Linked DNA regions of Struthio camelus. The protein of the gene in region 2 interacts with the protein of the main gene of each other region in a biochemical or structural test. Links are inferred from orthologs where the notes say so. Each region holds a gene or a part of one and is shown on either strand. Other genes may lie near its edges.

Region 1 (10,328 bases), on a different chromosome or scaffold from region 2:
TAACATCTAAAGAACAGCCAAGGGCATTGCTGAGACTGTTCTTCACACAGTCAAAAAAGTTTGTTTCTTGAACCTAAAGAAGTTGCAGCATTTTTCAGCCTATATAGGCTGAAAACTAGTATAGAGAATACTAGTTGTTGAATTTAAAGTACCTGTGCAGAGATATTTATATATTACAGCTTAGATGCACAGTTAACTGACACCTCTGCTGAGGAAAAGTGAAAACCGCCATAAATAACATCAACTCAGGCCTTTATTCAAAGGTTTTTAGAGTGTTATTATTATAAACAAGGGCAAGCTTATTTGTATCAAGTCCTATCATCAAACATGACTTTATTTTTTAATGCATCAGGACTGGAGATTGACAAGTTTTTGTTTTGTTTTGTTTTTTTGTGGGGGAGCTGGGAAGGAGAGGGGAGGAGTGGAAGGGAGGGTAGGCAGAGAGTTCATCCTGAAAGAGGTTTTAAGTGGAGATCAGTTGCACCTCTACCTAGGCATTTTTTTTGCCCTTAAGAACATCTCCATATAGATACAGAAGGAACAGAAAGTTCCATCTGAACATGAGGAAAAACTTCTTTCCTGGAAGGGTGACTGAGCACTGGAACAGGTTGCCCAGAGAGGCTGCAGAGTCTCCTTCCCTGGAGACATTCAAAAGCCATCTGGACACAATCCTGGGCAACGTCCTCTCGGTGACCCCGCTTGAGTGGGGAGGTTAGACTAGATGATCACCAGAGGTCCCTTCCAATCTCAAGCATTCTGTGATTTTTATGATGGATTTAATATGCAAGTAGTACTTTGGGCCAAGAACGACGCTGGTCTTGTGAATCATCACACTAAGACCTGGTGTCAAATATTTAAACCCTTTAAAAAGGGTTAGAGCAGATACTTACATGCTATAGGAACTCTAAAACCAACTAACAAGGAGAGATACAAGGCCCAGTTAAGTCCAGCCAACACAGAGACTGATACAGTGACTAAACAGAGTTAACATATCAGCTGATGCCTGAATCATAAGTAGGGGCTAGCCAAAAAAAAAAAAAACACCCTATCGATCATACCATAAGAAGTTACCTCTAAAGCAATACTTTGAGGTACGCCAAAATCTCAGAAAAGTCATAAGAAATAATCAATTTAAGAGATATTCTTAATACTTGAGGTGCAAACATTCTAAAACTTTACACAAGCGTGACAGGAAGCATCCCAACAAGATCAGTTCCAAAATTAACTACAGCTTAACTCCAAGCTGTAACGCATATTCACTGGAAAGGAACAAATGCTGAAACTGATTAACCGATCAAGGAATACAGTTAGAAATACTATCAACCGCATGTTTGATTATCTGCAACCTCCTACTGCTGTAAAAAGCCCCAACAATATGGCCAACCTCAGTGCACATACTAGAAAATTGAGACAAGATTAACTCTGGATGATTAATTGATTCTCTATTCTTGACTTCTACCAACAGACAATGGGTATAAAATGCAGAATTTTGAGGCACTGTCTTGCATCATCAAAACTAACAAAGTACATTGTAAGCATCAGACCAGTTCCACAAGCAGTGGTTTTCAGAGGACATCCAGACCACAAGATGCGTAACGTAGTTCAAAAGAAATAGCTTCTCTACAGGATGTGATGCTACTTTCCTTAGCGCCAATAGCAGCCACATGAGGTTTTATCCATGGAGGTAGGTTTGACCTGTCAATACTTACAGCCTCACAACTCAGTAATAAGCTAAACAGAGCACAAGATGCCACTGACCCACACCCACTCTTTCATTAGAATCTCTCTTCCACAACTTTTACGCTTAAGTGCGCTTTATGGTAAAAGCCAGACAGTAGACGAAGAATGACTGTTAATAGCTATCTCCACCTCCACACCTCTTCTTCCACTCCCCCAAAGTCAGAGTTCACACTAGGAACAAATTCAATTTAATGTTTCCTTTCTGCAACACTAGTAAGCCAAAATAAAAAATAAAAATACAAACTTTTATCACTTGCTCCAAAGAAAATGAATTAGCTGGATCAGCATAAAACCATACATTACACTTCACTACTATTTAAGGGCATTTCTAGGAGTACCATGTACCCAGATACATCACAAAACAATTCACAAAACTATTTGGTATACGCTTTGTTAAGACACTTTTTAATCTCAGAACCGAAATAATCCTCACTTTTGTGCAAGTAACCATCAAATGATGTGGGTTTTACATGAGGAATGAAGGGTTACATCTTGCTTTCTTATGATGCCATTACAAGACTGACAGCATTGGAGAGAACCAAGGAACCACCAGGTATGACCAAGTAGGAAAACAAAAAGTAGCAGACCCCGTATTCCTGGCTCAGCATATGGAGCTTAATATGCATTTAAACCCCTGCCATGATACTTCTCCACCTGTAAGGGCATTATAACTGTAGAACCGTATTTTACAAGTCATTAGTTGATATCTGAGTCAGAAGTCAATACTGCAGTGCTTAATCACAACATAAGAGCACCTCACTCAAAAAAAAAAGTAAACATTGCAGAACAGGAAATTGGTCTATCAAAGCTATGTACAGTCTTTTGCTTACATACAAGACTGGCACTCATGAATTGCACCTTTGCACAAAAGGCATCCTCTGCCTCTCATAACAGCCAGTGAAGTAAAGAAACGTGCACGAAACGAGTGAGATGGCAACTCTGAGGCAGGTGACTGGGAAGTCACCTGCTTGGTAGGAAAGCCACTCACCCGGCAGAAAGATTCACACACTCTTTAGTTCAGTATTGGGTAAACAAGACATCACTACGGAGTTAAGCTGAGTGACTCAGCCACGAGAGAGAGATTCAGTCCCACAGGGTAAGAAATTCGGGGAGATGGGACAGAGGGCCCCATCGGCGCTCGCTACTTACCAGTAAACAGTCCACATTCACTTCAGATTTGGGGTCCTTTAAAGTCACATCGATTTTTTCAAACCGAGACTCAAAACTTTCTCCCGTCGACATGTTTCCGAAGATAAAAAGTTTCCCTTATTCCACAGCAAAGCAAGGGTTAAAAAAAAAAAAAAAGAAAAACAGGAACAAACAAGCACAAAAGAGAAACCACACAGCCTATAACAGGCTGAGGAGCGCTTCCTACAAAATCCCTTCAATCACCGAAGTCTCTAAGGCAAGTCCCCCACGCTGCCCCACAAAGGAAAGTTAAAACCAAAGGAGAGTGCTTTGGAGTCCGCAATTGGGGGGTGAAGGGGGACAAGGTTGCTTCTCCCCTCTCCTGCGCGCACGCACTTTCCTGGGCTGCTCACAACTCTGTAGCAGGTTTCCTCTCCCTCCCTCCTCTACTCGGGCCCCAGTGTCTCAGCAGCCTCATTTTCCCAGCCGGGGAAGCCGCCCTAGGAGCCAGCGTAGCGGTTCCTCCTCTTCGCCCTGCAGGATCAGCCGCAGGTAGGTGCCAACTTCCGAAGCACAGCTTTCTTCGCGAAAAAGCGGAGGAAAGAGCAGCGGCAGCAAAAAAAAAAAAAAAAAAAGAAAAAGCCAAAGTGCCCCAGTCTGCACGCACACCACCACAGGAAAAATAAAAGGGGGGTGGGGGGGGAACCAACTCAGGAAACTCCTCTCGGCGGCGTGCCTCAGCGCTTCGGGGTTGCTCCCTCCATGGAGCAAGGGGCGAGGGAGCCCGGGGCGGCCCGGGGGCCGAGGCTGCCCCCTCTCCTCGGCTGTGCCCTGCCTGATCCGGGCGGGCAGCGCACGGCTGCCAGCTGCGCACACAGGCCGCCCTGGCCCCCGCTGCGGGTGCCCCTCGCGGGCAGGGGACGAGCCGCTTCAACGGCGGAACGACGGCAGCAGCAGCATCTTCCTCCGTCCTCCTCGTCGCTGCGCGGCCGCCGCCGGCTCCTCACTGCCTCCCGCCGCTGCCAACGCCGGCTCCGCTGCTCCCTCCCCGGCGCCTTCGCCTCACGTACGGGACGACCGGCCGGGCCACTTCAGGACGGACCCGGCGCTGCAGCGTGAGCAGGAGGAGGGAAGGAGGTGGCTGAAGGGGAGGGGAGAGCACAAGGTCCGGCAGCAGCGGCGACGGGTGTGAGGGAACCTGCGAAATCCACAAACATGTCCGCCTTCCTGTTTGAACACTTGGGGGGGGGAGGGCGCAGGGACCGAGGCGCAACGCGCATGCGCTGACGGCACAGCTCTTGACGGGCGGGGAGGGGAAGGCGGCAGAAGGTATGCGCGTGGGGTGGGGGCGTGCGCACGCTGGCGCTGGCGCGCGGCCTCCCGCTCCTTTCCCACCCGCCCCGCCCCGCCCCGCCCCGCCGTCGCTCAACGGTCGAAGGAGGCGTGCGCGCGCCGTGCCCGCGAGACCGGGGAAGGAAAAGGGCGGGGGCCGAGGGAACTGCGAGCGCGAGTGGGCGGTGCGCGCCAATCAGCGGCGGCGGAGCGCGGGGGGGGGAGGGGGGAAGAGAGGGGGCGCGCTGAAAACCGCCGCGGCCAGGCGGGGCGGGAGAGGGTTTGACAGCGGAGTGGTGGCGGGCCCCTTCCGGGGGGGGGGGAGGGAGGGAAGAAACGTCCCCCTCGTTCCCCTTTCCTCTGTGATTCCCCCCCCCATACACACACACACCCCCATGGTGATTTCGATGGGTGTTAGACGCGCGCAGCTGGGTGCGCGGGAGCGGACGGGAAAGCCCGAGGGAGCTGCCATTTCAGCGGGTCCCTGTGAGAGCTGCCGGCGGGGAGCCGCTGCCCGCCTGCGGCTGCAGAGCGCGGCAGTGGGCAGCGGTACGCTGAGCGCACGCGCGCCGCCCCCAAGGGGCAGGTGGCTGTTGGGCCGGCGGCCGCTGGCGGCGGTTGGTGCTCCGCCAAGAGCCGCGCGTGTGAGGAGGCACGCGTAACTCGGCGGGACCGCAGGAAGGACAGGTACAGCACTGAAACGTCGGACCCAGTGCGGCACGTCGTGGTGTTTTCAGCTTAGATGTCAAGACTGCCGTACAGGGCCTGTTCCTTCAGAAAGGAAACTCGAGTAGCATTTTTAAATAATTTAAGTCAGACGCCACGGTGCTGGTTCGGTTCTTCGGCTTCCATTGCAATTCCAGGAATGGTAAAGACATTTTTACAAAAATCATTACAAATCAGAGAATGCCAAGTGATTAATCACTGCTCACTGAACAACTGCCAGTCAAAAACAAAACCTGAGTCACTAGCCTTATGAGTTACTTTCAAGGTCACGATTATGAAACAATCTGCATCCAAGTGCTAGGGCATCTGAGCTATTCAATCTTGAATACTCACTATTTGCTACCTTACCTTATCCAGAGAAAAAAAGAAAGGGCGTTCTGCATTTCAGTTCTCCTTATTCACACCTCTCTGGATTTTTGTTTCTCTCCTTAAATGAGAAGTATGTACAGTTACAGCAAAAATACAAGCTGCAACAACCTGACACTCCTGTTTACTTTCACTCATTTTGTGATGGCTTTTATCACAACCCTTTGATTCAGAGGGTTCGGTGGTTCGTGGAAATGCGGATGTCCCATTTCAACAGCCGCAGTCCAAGGAGAACCTCTCGGGTCCTCTGCAAACTGCTGTGTAGGCTTGTGACCATTTCATATGCAATGCAGCAAATAAAATACAAATACAATGCTTCTTACAGTTCTAATATTAAACAGGGTAAGAACAGTCATTAGAAATACGGAGCCTAATTCACACTGCTTCTAGGCACCTAGTTTGGGCATTAAAATACATACAGGAAAGATGCCAGGCCTCAACAGGTGATTCAAAGTGCCTATCTGAAAAAAATGCAAAATTCATGAGGCCTGTAATAGAGTAGGTAAGAGGAAGCCTGATTCTGTAGCTCAGTGGGAAGGATCACCCCAGGAGCGACAAAATCGTGAGCTGTGCTCCAGATGGTATTTATGTGGTTTATCCAATGACTGTGGGAAAATGCACAGGTAGTCTTTGGAACGCAAGATTTCTTTCATCCTTTCCGGGCCTCTTTTCCCAAAGCTGCATGTGTCTTTCTCTCACTTGCCCTGTGAATCTTGCATTACTTTTTTACAGCAGCCCAGCTTCAGCACAACAGGTGGTGAAAAGCCCCATCCCATTCGCATGGCTGTTTAGAGTATTCACAGAAATGTGAGAGGTCAAGATTGAAAAGGGCCTAGAACCCACACGTTTATTTGCTAGTGAATAATCTTGCCACTAGAACAATACACCTTAGGATCTTTTCCAGTGTTTCTGGTGAGAGAAGCTGCTATGTTTTGTGTTCAGCTGTATGTAAACTGTGTTTCAAATACTTCTATCAGATTGGGCTTTTCTAGCAACCATGGTAAAGTAAAAGTGCTTGTCTGTCTGTATCAAAATTAAAATAGAATTTGTGTGGGAGGTGCTTCACCCAGCTGTCTAGGAAACTATCAGGTGGAAAATAAGACACCAATTGCTTTTAGGTTCCTACAGATCTAGGCAGTGCTGGAGATGAGAAGTTTTGAATCCCTCTCTGAGATTTAGAAGCATAAAATCGGCCCATCTTCCACAGAGGTGGACATTTAGACAATCTGAATGTCATTCATAGTAAGCACTGCTTTGAAAATGTAAAAGTGAGGCTTTGTCTACAAAGACCAAAAGGAGAATAAATTCTAATTTTAAAAGCAGGTATGGGTTAGAAGTGACTGATGTAACACACAGAATGCTCTCTTTGTAACTCAGGGTGTGACCGAAGCATGTAACATAATAATTTCTAACTGAGCAAACACTCATTCCCATGTTTGGATCTCAAAGCACATATTCCTGTGAACTTCCGTCAGACTATTTCTATTTCTAAGATTAAGAGTTTGTATATTTCTAGAATTGGCCACTTAGAAATAATATTAAGTTCCATAATACATAGCCAATCATAATGCCTTGAGCACAGTGTTTTAGGAATATTTTTTTCTCTGACAACACATAAACTAAAAATGGGTAGTTTCTTCTTCCTGCATTTCTTGCTTCACTTTGGAATTTAGCTAACTTTTGTTGAACGAAGTGAAAACTACTCAACATATGTATGAACTGGTAACGCTGAGCTGATTAAGCATATAAGCCTGAAACGTTTTTTTTCCTCTCCAAAAGTGTATATCCTCTAATACTAGGAACTGTGTGTAACCTCATGTCCATGCTCTGTAAGCAAGCACATTAATATCCTTGACAAAGCAGGAATCATGATCTTTGCATTCATGTCATCTTGCCTATTTTATAAGATATTTAAATATTCCTGGTTTTAATGTGATGCAAATATGACAAACTGACACTGACTCAGGAGTTGCATGTTGATAAAGACTGCAATTTCCTAATAAATACAGAAGAAAATCAGTAAAGTATAGAATCACTATATTGGCTTCCTCTAGAACATTAAACCATACTTATAAAAAGCTTATTTGGTAGTGTTTATCATATAAATAGTATTTTATATTACAGTAATCCATCCTGTATTACAGTAATCAGACTGATCAGATATCATCACAGTTTAAATAGTGCATATTTCAAGAAATTAATAAAAAGCAGGAATAAAACAGCAATAGAATACTTGGCAAACAATCGGGCCCTCTCTGAAGCAGGTATTGTCACACCAATCCTCTCATGAAATAGCTAAGAAAGATTAAGTCAAAGGCCTTGTAGTAAAGTCAAAGGCCATCCAGATTTTTTAGGTCGCTGAGTGTGCATCTTTTAAATGAACAGAATGAGAGAAAAAGCTAGGATATGGTGATTTCTGATGTAACTACTGACTTCAGAAGAGTTACACAAGGCACAAATGAGACTATATCCTGCTCACCATATTAGGCTAAGTTAGTAATGTGCGTGTACCTTCACATTCAACTTCCTATTTAGTCAGCATGAAACCTACAGCAGTTAAATCACGTTACATTAAGGCTGCCTTTGGTCATCCACCCTCTCTTCATGTTTGCCATGCAATACTGACTCAAGTTCACCTCAGCTGTAGTCTTTAGGGCATTCAATAGCACAGATCAATATTGCTCAAAGCTCTGAGATGAAAACTGTGGTCAGCAAAGGTACTCCTTCGGGAAAATAGTCTACCACAACTAAAGCTCATCTGTGCGACAGAAAGGCCTTTCTCAGGAGCTTTCTCAGTATTTCAGGCAAGGAATGATGGCAGCTCACGTAGACAATACTGAACTGGCTTTAGGTAATGATAAAGTAACACCAACACTGGTATCTGTGTACCTGCAAAATTTGAAGAAAAGGCTGTGTTAGGTGTTGAGAGGTGGTTGCTCTATTGGCTATAGTCTTCCTGTTGCCTGTTGGCCAATTTCAAATGCAGTCACACTATTGACTGCAGTACAGCTCCCTTGCTTCCTCTGGACGCCGGCAGCTCAATGTGAAAAAAAAAAAAAAAACTCAGGGAATTAAAGATCATAAGCTTAAACTGCAAAATGCACAAACTGTGAACATGTTAACAAATTCTACCAATGGGAGAGAGAGAGAATATTAACAAACGTTACAGGTATTAGTTGTATCACTCAGTACACTAAGAGAAGGCATTTTGGTTCTTCCAGGATGAGGCAAAATGTAGCAAATAGAGTATAGAGTAGAGCAGAGCAGAACAGAGTAAAAATTACCTATAAAATAAAAATTGCTAGGAAGAGAAAACAAATTTGAATAATAGGAGACAGAAAGGATAGCCCCTTAGCATGAATATACTTAGTGAAAGTAGTACCTTTTCAAATATTTGAAGACACTGAAACATTGCAATATGTATGCGTGCAAATATATATGTTTTGCTGCTTGTTACTAGCTTTAGTTCTAGGTACATGATCTTCTATAGCCTAATGTTTTGGGGCTTCTTGCCAAAGGACAGTTACTGCTGTTTCCTTTTACAATGGAGTGCATTCTCAGGCACCATAGTACTTTTTCAGATGTAGAACTGGAATGCCGGGGAGAAATTGCTCCGCAGCCTGGCTGTAGTGAGTGATGAACAAGACATGGGGCACCTGGATTTTTGTTCCATTTTCTGGGAGTAGGAGCAAGAAATAAGTGAAAAAATAACCTTTTGGATCCTTTCCAACGGCCAAGTTTGATGGAGGGGCCCAGGTCTGCAAACAAACTGCTGCAAGCCAGGAAGTGAACTGGATCGGATTGTCTGCTCCAGCGGAAACACAGAAGCAGTTGCTGCCAGCAGACAAGGGTATAGTTATATAAACAGCTCAGCGTAGGCTCTCCCAAAGTAACTTTTGCTGTATCTGGAAAGGAGGGGAGCTGTGAGTCCAGAGATAGATACCAATCCACAGGGTAAATATCTGGTCACCAGATGGCTCAAACCAGTATCAACCATGAAGACATACACAGTGCAGGCTCCCTTTGCTTTTATGCTTTAAAAGTGCAAAAAAAGTCTGTGACCAATATATGGCACAAGCTCACAATGTGATTTTAAATCAAATCAAAACAAAATTCCACTAGAACGCTGAAGGCTTCATACCTCAATAAGGACAGTTTCCGTGGCAAATACCATTTTCCCACTGAAGCCATTTGGTGGGTACAGGAAAAGTTAAGATGCCAGAAATTCTTCTTTTAGCCTGGGAAAAAGCTTTTTTTTCACTATCCTGGAGCTTAAAATTGCCCCAAGTACTTCTTGCTTGCAATCTTCAGAAGCCCACTAAACCCAGTCAGAAGAAGCATGGAAAACTTTACCCTGTAAAATGAAGGCTGCAGAAAGTTAGGAGTATATTAAAGAAGGAACTAAAAACAACTCTCCTGATGGTATCATCTATCAGGATATAAAACAACATAGAATTATTTGTATTTTCTTATTCCCGTTATAAGTAGAGTGATTACCTTCATTATAGACCTCTTTGCAGGTTAAGCTGCCATGAACCCGACTTTCTGTTACTAATTTGTTTAGCTATGAATTATCTACAAGATTAGTAATTTTTCTTCTTCTTTCTCCAGTTCGTACTCCTAAGCACTCTTTCTCTGAATAAATTTCAAGCTCTGTCTCCCGTCCCACCTTACTCCCACTTTACCCATATACATATATCACGTTTCCCGCAGTTGGATTAGTTTTGCAGTCCTTACTCAGATAGTTCTTCTGAAGACAAAAGTTTAAAAGCAAACTGGACTGAGTTTAAAAGTAAACTAGCTTTAATTTTCCTGGCTGTGCTTGTATGTATGTCACATTAAATAGCTACGCTCCCTGTGGATGCTTTGCTCTGCTGAAGACTATGTCAAATCCATAACATCTCTAACTGGAATTAGAAAATAGAATCTTTGAACTGTCCCACTTCAGTTTTTCATTCTGTCTAAACTTTTTTTCAGAACATCCACAGAGTTTCAAACAGATACAAAGTGCTTTCAAAACAATAATTAAAATACTT
Region 2 (9,587 bases):
AGCATCTCTCTGTGGGATATTACCGTACCATGGCATTGCATGAAAAGAATGTAGGTGTATCTGTTGGATCCATGTTAATTTGAAGTGGGATCCATTTTTTTGCTGAGGAGATTATACACAGTGAATATAAACAGCAGCTCACACACGATAAACAGACGTGGGAGAGCCACTAGGTCAGACAGTGAGCAAGACCTGATGAAACAATTGCGTGTTTCCACGTAACTCCAGCCAGGGTCCTCAGAGAGCATTTGTGTGCCTCACACTTCACGCAAACAACCCTGCTGGGTGTGATTAAGGAACATTTTTGCATTGAATAGATTGGGAGCTCAGTCGTTCTCTCTCTCCAGGGAGTTGTCTTCTTATTAAATCAGCTGCTGCATCTCGGTTGAACCTTTTAGCGGGTGTTGCCTTAAGTCAGAGGAATATGGTATGAAGACATAGCAGTAGCGATGCTGTCCTTCCTGTTTCCAACAAATGCAGGACCTGCCGTGCAGAGTGCTTTGCTGTCCCCGATAGAGAGTTAATGGTAAAGCAGTTGAGAAGAGTCATAGTCAAGACTAACTCCTCAAATCAAGGATCAACACAGAAACATCTGGCTTAAATTATACTAGTGAAATCCATCTTCATCCCTCCCATTATTGGGAGGTGATAGACCAGAGTGTTTTTCAGAATTGATATCACTGGTATAATTCTGAGACAAGTGGACAGTTTGCTGTATTACAGGACACAGACACCGAGCTCTCCGGAGTTAAAGATGACAAAACTGCTTAAGATTTACATACAGTTGGTTCTTACCACTGCTTTTATATGTTGCGATTCATCTTGACACAGATGACTTATCTTTTGACTTGACATGGAATGTTGCTCTGGACCCCCTATGGGTCCGTGTTGTTGCATCTTCTGTTCTTTTATCCTGTCCTGCAATCCTGCCCCAGATGACTTTATATGCCAGCTCAGGTACGGGCTCCCTGATACTTTTTTGGGTATTGTTCTTCCCTATAATGCTCCAGGCATCCCACTTGCAATTTATCCCTTTACTGAATGTTTAAGTGATGCATGTATATCAGAAAAATCAATATAGGTTATTTTTCACAATGCCTTTGCTTTAGATATGGCTAATAGCTCTTAATATAGAATTGCAGTATTTAAATGTTCTAAATAGCGTTGGTAATGTTGATTTTGATATGTTGTCAGATATATGCTGGTTTTAGGTTGAGAAATTACAGAAATGCTTTGGCTAATTTGTGGCCTTCAAGCAAGAACTGCAGTTCCTGGTTTCCTTTTTCTCAAACTTTTGGGTTGCTCTGGGAAAGTTGCTACTGTGTGAAACACTTTACAACCAGGAGAACTAGGGAGGTAGGTAACAATAGCGTGGCAAACTGAAAGTTGTCAGACAGCATGCCAATCCTTCAGCCTTAGGAAAGAAGCCAGCAAGAGGGAACGTTTGTCTGCAGTTTTGCAAAATGTTTTTGAGATATGTTTTAAATGATTTGTAGCCTTTTTTTAATCTTCTGTTGCTTTGTTCTCTGCAGGGATTCCAGGGCTTTGGGTTTGGGGATGGTGGCTTCCAAATGTCATTCGGAATTGGGGCCTTTCCCTTTGGTATATTTGCCACAGCATTCAACATAAATGACGGGCGACCTCCTCCAGGTACTGTGCGTCCTACCTTCTAGGAGAGTCATATCATAAACAAATGTTTTACAAACTTACTTGTGACTTCTAAAAAAATAGCCTGCTAAGTGACAAAATTTCACTTTCTGGTGAAATAATTTCACTTTTTTTTTTAATTAAGAAAAAACAGTTCAGTTACTTCAAATAGTGGTCTCGTTCTCTAAAAGTTGTTTGGTAATCCCCAGAAACACACCTCCCTATCAGCACTGTAGGAATAACTGAGTCTACCTGTTTCAAACGAGAAAACCTACTGCCCAACGTTTTCTGGACTTCCTGGGTGAAAGGTTCCACCTGGTAAATTTACTTCACTCTATAATATGGGTTGAGGATACATTGTGTTTTGGCCTAGGAATTATGAGGAAAAAACCAGAAGGTCATTCTTCATGTCACATGTGTATTGAAAAGGACCTGTGTTGTCCTTGGGCCAAATGAACTTGCCTATCAGCTATACTTTGCTTTGCACTGAAAAATTGTGTGGGGTCTGCCTGAACTGAGGGGTATTTAAATGTGTGCTGATATACAGCCATCGTTTAACCAACGCTTTTATCTGCTTTTCATCTGGGGACTCAATACAGCAGTTCCAGAAAGGTCCATCCAGAGCTTTAAGCTTGTGCGCTTTTCATCAGTTCTCTTGGTCAAGGCTACACACGCAAGTTTTGACTCTGTTACCATTTGCATATGCAGAGAGATGTATTTCACCTTGAGGGGGAAGGAAGGCTGAGGCAGAGGTTGTAAAGTTCCTCAGGATGGAAACACCTGGCAACAATGAACTTAGCTCAGCTTTGTCCCCAGTACTCTGAACGGACTTGTCCGGACTTAGCACTTGGAGCTGCCTGCTCCTATTAGTCATGAGCAGGCCTACTGCCAGTTCTGCTCTGAGGAGCTGATGCTTCTCTTCCTTCTGACCTTCTGGCATGGCTAGGCAACCCAAGGATAGGAAACCTTGTCAGCAACAGTTTTTCTGCAGGTGGATTTCTTGCGTATTTTTCAACTTATGAATGTGCTATATGCAGAATATACAATATTCTGGAGAAGTTGAAAGAGCTGAACTGTTTTTTTTACTTCCTGTTTTCCAGCTGTTCCAGGGACTCCTCAATATGTGGATGAGCAGTTCCTATCCCGCCTCTTCCTGTTTGTGGCTCTGGTGATAATGTTCTGGCTGTTGATTGCATAAATCTTTTCCATTATCCTGTATATTCATGGCCAGCGAGGCCTCTGAAACAGTTACAAACTGCATCCCCTTCCCATTTTAAACCTCTTGGTGTCTGGTTCCATAGCTAATCACGGGTTCCAGAAACTGGTGGTACCACAGCACAATGAAGAATCTCGCGTTTTGCACCAGAGCTGGAAATTAAACATTGGTTTAAAAGCATATTTCAGCTCAGCTATCTTGTACAACAGGTTCCTGCCACAAACCATGGGGCTAGCTTTGAGCTCCACTTCTAAAAGGAGTGCTGCTTTTAAATCCTGTGCCAATTAGTTACAACAGGTTTACTTGAAAGACAGTTGCCCCAAGGTAGGCTGGGCAGGTAAGCAAAGTTCTGTAGTGTGATCTGTATCTCATGTTTGGCAACCACGATGGACCAGCTGGAGTTGCGGATGTTGTTTGATGTCTTCACATCAACATCTAGCCTTCTTCAGGAAGTCATCTGCAGCACTGCTGAGACTCCTTGGGCGTGACTTGTGATGCAAATGGAACCAGCTTTGGAGAATGCTTTCTTTTCTTGCTGTTATTTGATGGAGTGATGGAAAACTCCCTGCTGAAGTGGTTCCAGTGGCTGTTATAAGAAGGGATACAAGTTTATGCTGCAGTTTCTTAAAACCTGCATTTGCTGGAGCCAGACACTGGAAGATGCTCTCGTCGTGGAGCTGGCTGGGGTTGCCGAACAGTACACACACCTGTCTGCCTCACCCAAGCTCAGTTCCCCGCTGACAAAACAGTGTTGTCTTCCTTGGTTCTTCACAGCAGTCTCTGGCTGCACCCATGGATAATCCCCTCACAGCCTTGTCACTGTAGCTACATTTCTTTTTCCTAAGGCTGTGAGACATTAAGCAAGATCATGTACTCCAAATAAAATCCTATTAACAGATCTGAGATCAGCTTTTTGGGGGAGAGGAATGAGGGACATTTTAAAGTGAGCTTTGAGGTTAAACTTGTCATACTGTAAAATTATGCAGGAGGGGGAATGAAATCCTACCTTTGCTAGCCACAGTGGGGAGCATTTGGAAGAGTTTCTCTGTACAGATGTGTAAAGATGCTCTGTGCCACAACAAAATGGCTATAGCGCAAGAGTCATTGCAATATCTACCAAAGATATTCATTGGAAATAATGGAGGAAACTACAACCATTTCTGTGCTGAGGGAAAAACGTTTCAGAAGGTGAGCACACAAGACTAGCCTTTTTGGAATCCTGTTGGGTACATAGCTTTAAAAAGTATTCCTGATGTATTTGTGTAGATTCTTTCAGAACAGCAGCTATGAGGGATTCCCTAGCAAGATGAACAGTTTTGATTTTTCTTCTGACTAGGCAATTCCAACTTTTTTTTTAAATTATTTTTAATTATTTTGATTCAGATCACTGATAGTCATAATAATTTCCTGCAAGATGAATATTTTGACTTCCTTGGCAGTTGACTGACAGCTGACAAAACAAATCAACTCATAGAAGCCTTGTTTAAATAGTTAGGCTTTTTCTCATGCATATGGATGAGGTTCCTGGGCAAGGCACCTTGATTAATTGTTGTGCAAGCTAACTTCTGTAATTATAAACTGTTCACTGAGGTTTAACTTGCCCGCCTCCAAAATTCCACGTGGCAAGTACAATTTTGCAAAGCTTCTGCAGTGTTTTGCCACATCCAGTCGAGTTTATACCTGACTTGCTGATAATCTGGCAGAATATCTCTCTCAACTATAAATAGCTGAAGCAATGCTTCAACTTTTGTTGTGTGGCACTTTTGAGAAGCTTAACTTCTTTTACATCTGCTTCTTCTCAAGTGCGTAACTCGGGAAGTAGGACCCTTTCTAGGAGAAAGGCTATTTATTGCATTCCTACAAGCAACCGGCCATAGTTTGTAAAAAACGTCGCAGCTTTGACGGGCTTTCGTGAGCAGGCAGCACCACCTGCTGATGAAAAGGAAAAGTTCTCGTGGTTGTACAAGGGAGGGTTTTCCTTCTCCCCGAGTACCGAGAAACTGGGTGCCGAGAAGGAGCTGCGGTTACCCAGGAAGGAGTAGGGTATCCCTTTAAAGCCTTTTTCCTACAAGGAGGACGGAAAAGTAACTGTCGTAGGCTCAAAAGAGGTATTAATCGAGATTTAACTAACACTTATGTTTTAAAATACAGAATTTTTAATGGTTTGGGGGGCGGGGTGTTGCCATCTACTGGTGAGAGAAGCAATGGCTTTAGACTGAGGTGGCTGCAGAAACATGACTGAGAGTCCTTAATTTCCAGGCAATCCAAGAATGAAATAGTCTAAAAGTGTTAATGCTTTTGTTCTTACCTTTCTCTCGGTGTGCTTTTTGTATTGTAGCACTTTCCCCTTGTACTGAGACCGCACGCGGCCCCTAACGGCTCGCTTAGTGCGTCACCGTTACTGTTCACTAATTTTCACTGTTGTGAAAGTGATTTAGAATAAAAAAAATGGTTTTACATTGACCTGAGCGTCTTGGGCCTCTCTGCGCGCTCCGCCGGGGGCCCAGTCACGGCGGCTGCGCGGGGCGCGCGCGCCCCAACGGCCGTTGGTCGGTACCTGCCGCCGGGCGGGGGAGGGGCGGCCGGGCCCGGCGGCGGGGGGCGGCGGGGGGCGGGAGCCCGCCACGCCACGTGGGGGGCGGGGCCGGGGCGGGGCCGCTCCCTGATTGGCCCCGGCCGCAGGAGGGGCGGGCCGCGCCGCGGAAGGGGCGGGAGGGCGGCGGGGGTTGGTCTGCGGCCGCCGGGAGGCGGAGCGGCGATTGGGCCTGCGGGGAGGAAAAGGGCGGGGGCGGGGCGCGGCTCAGGGCCGTAGAAGCGAGGAAAGAGAAGTAGCAAGAGAAGGGAAGGGAGGAGGGGGTTCGCGCGCGAGCGCGCGCGCGCGCACCCGGGCCAGGTGCGGTGTGACCTACCGCGCGCTCCGTAGCGGCTGACGTCACGCGCGGGCGAGCCCCGGGGCGGCGGCGGCAGCGGTGATGGAGGAGCTGCCAGGTGAGGCGGGGGGGAGGGCCGGGCCGCGCCGCGCCTACCGTGGGCGCTGAGCGCCGCCGCCGCCGCCCTGCCCAGCCGCGGGGCTGCCGCGCCGGGCTGCGGCTCCCGTCAGGCGGTTGGGCGGCAGGTGCGGGGCTGCGCGCGGCCCCGCCCGGGCCCGCCCGCCGTCCCCGCGGCTGCCGAGCCCGTCGGCCAGGCCGGCCGCTGCCTGCCCCGCTGCTGCCCCGCGTCCCGGGGGAGGTCTGGCCCGGGCCCCGGTGCGCCGGGCTCGGAGAGGCGGCGCGGTGTTTGCGTGCCCCGAGGGTGGCGGGCTGCGCGGCTTCGCGCCGCCGAGGCCAGGCTGTCCGTCCCCGTTTCCTGCTCGCCCTTCCTTAGCGTGGTTGTCCGCCGGGACCCGGCGGTCTTGCTCGCTTTCCGCTCCCTTGGTTGCGGGGGCCTGGCAGCCCCGCTGCCGCCGGAGGGCGGCCCCGCTGGTCCTCTGCCGGGCTTTGCTGCTCGGCGGGGGGCTCCTTTCGCCGGCTTGCCGCTGGCCCTCTCTGCAACGCTCCTCCCGGCCTGCGGGACTTGGCAGACCTGTTATATTGATTATGTCTCTTTGCTTTTCCTTCGCGCTATTTCCTGCTCTGTTTTTTTTTTTTTTTTCCCTCCCACTTCCATCACTTCTCCTGGATGCCTAAGGAATTTCAGTTGAATATAGCGTTATTCATTTCCTTTTGTGGGCTAATCAGCCTTCCTGGATGCAGTTAAATTTTTCAGCTTTGCAGCTGGAAGATGACTAGTGCACAGAGTTTAGAAGTGAACTTGTAAAGCTGTATGATCCTTGTGGAGGAATGTCTGTTGCTTTTAGTTAGCAGTAGTGTAATAATTGGTCCTTCAATTTCTGGAAACAGGTTCTCTTTTCTGCTTTCACATTTGTTTCTTCTGCTCCTGGCATTAAAGGGGGGACGGGGGGGTGGAGCTGAGGGATGTGTGATTTGCAGCCTTACTTGGCTGGTAGAGTGGCAGGAATTCCAGAAGTAATTCAGCTGGCTTTGAGGACTTGTGTTACGTTACTTGGAGAGAAGTGCCCCTGCTCCCTGCCCGTTATGTCATGGGCATACGTGGACTTGCCTTTTGTTTCTAAGCCTGTTGTAGTGCACTGAAAAGCATTTCGTTTTACAGAGGCACATGTGAAGTAGTGCAAGCTTTAAGCTTTTTGTAAGTGTCTCCTAACCCTCTTCCAGCAGTGGAGATCTGAGCTCAGCTGGAATTCGCTGTGCTCCAGATAGCAGGAGGGAGCAGAAGCATTCCCAGGTATTGAGCTGAAGTGTTCTTGGGAAATGAAGTAGCAGCTTATGCCACATCTGAATGAATCCTGTCTAGCACTGTAGTCTGCATAGAGACCTTTGTGGGTACTGCTCATCCCCTGACAAGGGTGGTGCTTGTTTGTGCTTGAGCAACAAGTCCTGTCACTGAAACAGTTATCTGTGAAAATGTACGAGGACATCTTCAGCCTAGTTATTTTTAAGTGTTGTTAACTGACCCACGCAGTGGGGTAAGAATGCATAGAAGTCTAATGACTTATGTTTTGTGTAACTTCAAGGAACTTGGCCTCAATACCTATTAATGTTTAGAAAGCTATGTGAGCAAGGGGAATTTACTGTACCTTGAGCACCTCTACATAGTCTATGCTGAGTATTGAGCTTTTATTTTAATCACTAAATCTAGACTTTTTCCTCCTCTTATCTTTACTTCTCTCTTTTGGTTCCCTGCTCTATTTGTTTTAAGCTCTCCCAGGTTGTTTACCCTAGCATTTCAAGGTGATGCTTTGCCCATCCACATTGCGGTAATCATAACTACTATGTCACGATACGTACTGAATACCGCTTCTCTGGTTGCTGTCACAGGGGCTTTCATTAACTAGTCCCAGAGCCTTTTGCAATATTGATTTGTTACTGGAGCACTGAATATTGTGTGTGTGTGTCTCTCTCTCTCTCTCTCTCTCTCTCTCTTTCTCTTTTTTACTATTATTCTGATAAGCCCATAACCTAGTAGTTCTGTGTCTTTGAATTGTATCTGTTGGAGGTGGTAACGTTCTCTCAGTTTAAACCATGAAGCTAAAGAGAGACTATGAGATAAATAAATCATCTTCCCTGTGCAACTGAGGCTGGGCTTATAAATGCTAACCTGTTAACCTTCTACGGCTTTCTTCTCTAGCATCATACAGCTGACTGTGTCTGCTGTAGCTGGGTCTTTTCTGGAGAGTAAAAGTTAGCTTGGTTCTGTTTGGAGTAGGCATTTGAACCTTTTTTAAACTTGACTTGGCCATTCAGAGTCTGGGGAGTAAGTGAAAAGTGTAACCCTAGAAGTAGTGTTGGCTTTTTCTGTACTAGACTTGCATATCCTGGGTGGTTTCTAGCCTGTAGATTCTATAATAGCTGACATGAAGTTCATCTCACAAATAGCTAATGGGTAGGTGTTCTCCCTGTTTTATGTGAACTTACAGAGGTGGTAACTGTAGGAAAATGATTGAAAAGGATTTGGTCCGTTTAAGAGCTATCTTGTATCTGTATAAGTTACAGGGTGAAGTTACAGAAGGAAGCTGCTTGCATCTGACAGCTTACTGCTTGCAAGTGTGCAACTGCACCCCGTTGCAAATATTTGATACTTGCAATTGATCCCAGAGAAAAACTGTCTCCTTTAATGTATGCTTTAGGAAGAAGGGGTAATTGAGTGACTGCTGAGTTTTTCTGTTCTTTGGAAACTGGAAGTCCGTGGTTAGTGGTTTTCCTTCTCTAAGCATGCTTTTTTCTTTATGCAACCTTGCTGCAAGTAAACCTCTAGTAGCAAGAAGAAACAGGTTTGAGATCTGCCCAGTAGCTGTGTAACATGTTTCTTGCACCATCTTGTGCCCATCCAGATCCTTGGTTCTTGCTTTAAGATAGTACTTGTATCTGTTTGGATTCGGGATAGCATTTATCTTTGTACAAGAATCTTCATACAGTTTTTCTAGCTTGTATACACCTAAAGAACTAGCTGTCTCAGGGGCTTTATGGCACTTCTAGCAGAAGCTATTATAGTTCTTGGACTAGCCACGGCTTTTTCTGAAGCAATAATAGGCCAATAGCATATGCCCCTCTCCCTAAATCTGGCTCCAGTCTAGTGTTCGTTGTACAGTCTCTACTGGAATATCCATTCAAGTGTGTAATTCCTTCCTGGTAGTCGAGTTGTCCTCTGCTGAATAAAGTTTGCCTTTCCTTTCTTTCTGTTCTGGGAAATGCAGTTAATTATACAAATGAGTGCAAATGTTATGTGCTGAGTCAGTGGCATGGGGGAAACAGTAGCTTGACTTCCTGGCCTTGCGAAAAATAATATTGCTTTCTTCTGCAGAATATGAGGAAGCTGATGGTGGTGTGGGATCTTGGGGGGAGGGGGGGGGAACAGAGGGGGAAGTAGTACATTAAATGTTCATTTCAGAAACCTCTGTCCCTGGGATTACAGAGTGGCCAGTATTGGCTTAACTTTCTGTGCGTGAAGGCTTTGATGTCAGATACATAATTTGAGGATGTCTTTTGTCAGGGATGCAGGAATCCTTGTTTCCTTTGAAGTAAAATGGTTACTCTAACTCGCCTTATTCCTGCATGCAGGTGAAGAGATCTGGAGATGCCTAGGATGTGGGGACAGCATTGCTGCTGGTCAGCGCATCTACAGGACTGTTAATGAAGCTTGGCATAGTTCCTGCTTTCGGTGGGTAAAA

The links. The genes of interacting proteins can lie anywhere in the genome.
Region 1: of the proteins of LIMK2 (region 2) and ROCK1, one has a biochemical effect on the other in vitro, tested with the Homo sapiens proteins (2 studies listed by BioGRID). The link is inferred for Struthio camelus from reciprocal best matches to the Homo sapiens genes LIMK2 and ROCK1.

Annotation. Positions count from the first base shown.
Region 1 is NC_090943.1:120,255,877-120,266,204, forward strand, and holds the start of ROCK1 (rho-associated protein kinase 1), read right to left. Parts: upstream 4,140-10,328; 5' UTR 2,983-4,139; coding exon 2,890-2,982; intron 1-2,889. UniProt on the Homo sapiens protein: Protein kinase which is a key regulator of the actin cytoskeleton and cell polarity.
Region 2 is NC_090958.1:8,180,847-8,190,433, forward strand, and holds the start of LIMK2 (LIM domain kinase 2), read left to right. Parts: upstream 1-5,647; 5' UTR 5,648-5,835; coding exon 5,836-5,851; intron 5,852-9,477; coding exon 9,478-9,577; intron 9,578-9,587. Other genes in the region: E3 ubiquitin-protein ligase RNF185, read left to right, coding at 1,533-1,650, 2,748-2,845. UniProt on the Homo sapiens protein: Serine/threonine-protein kinase that plays an essential role in the regulation of actin filament dynamics. Acts downstream of several Rho family GTPase signal transduction pathways.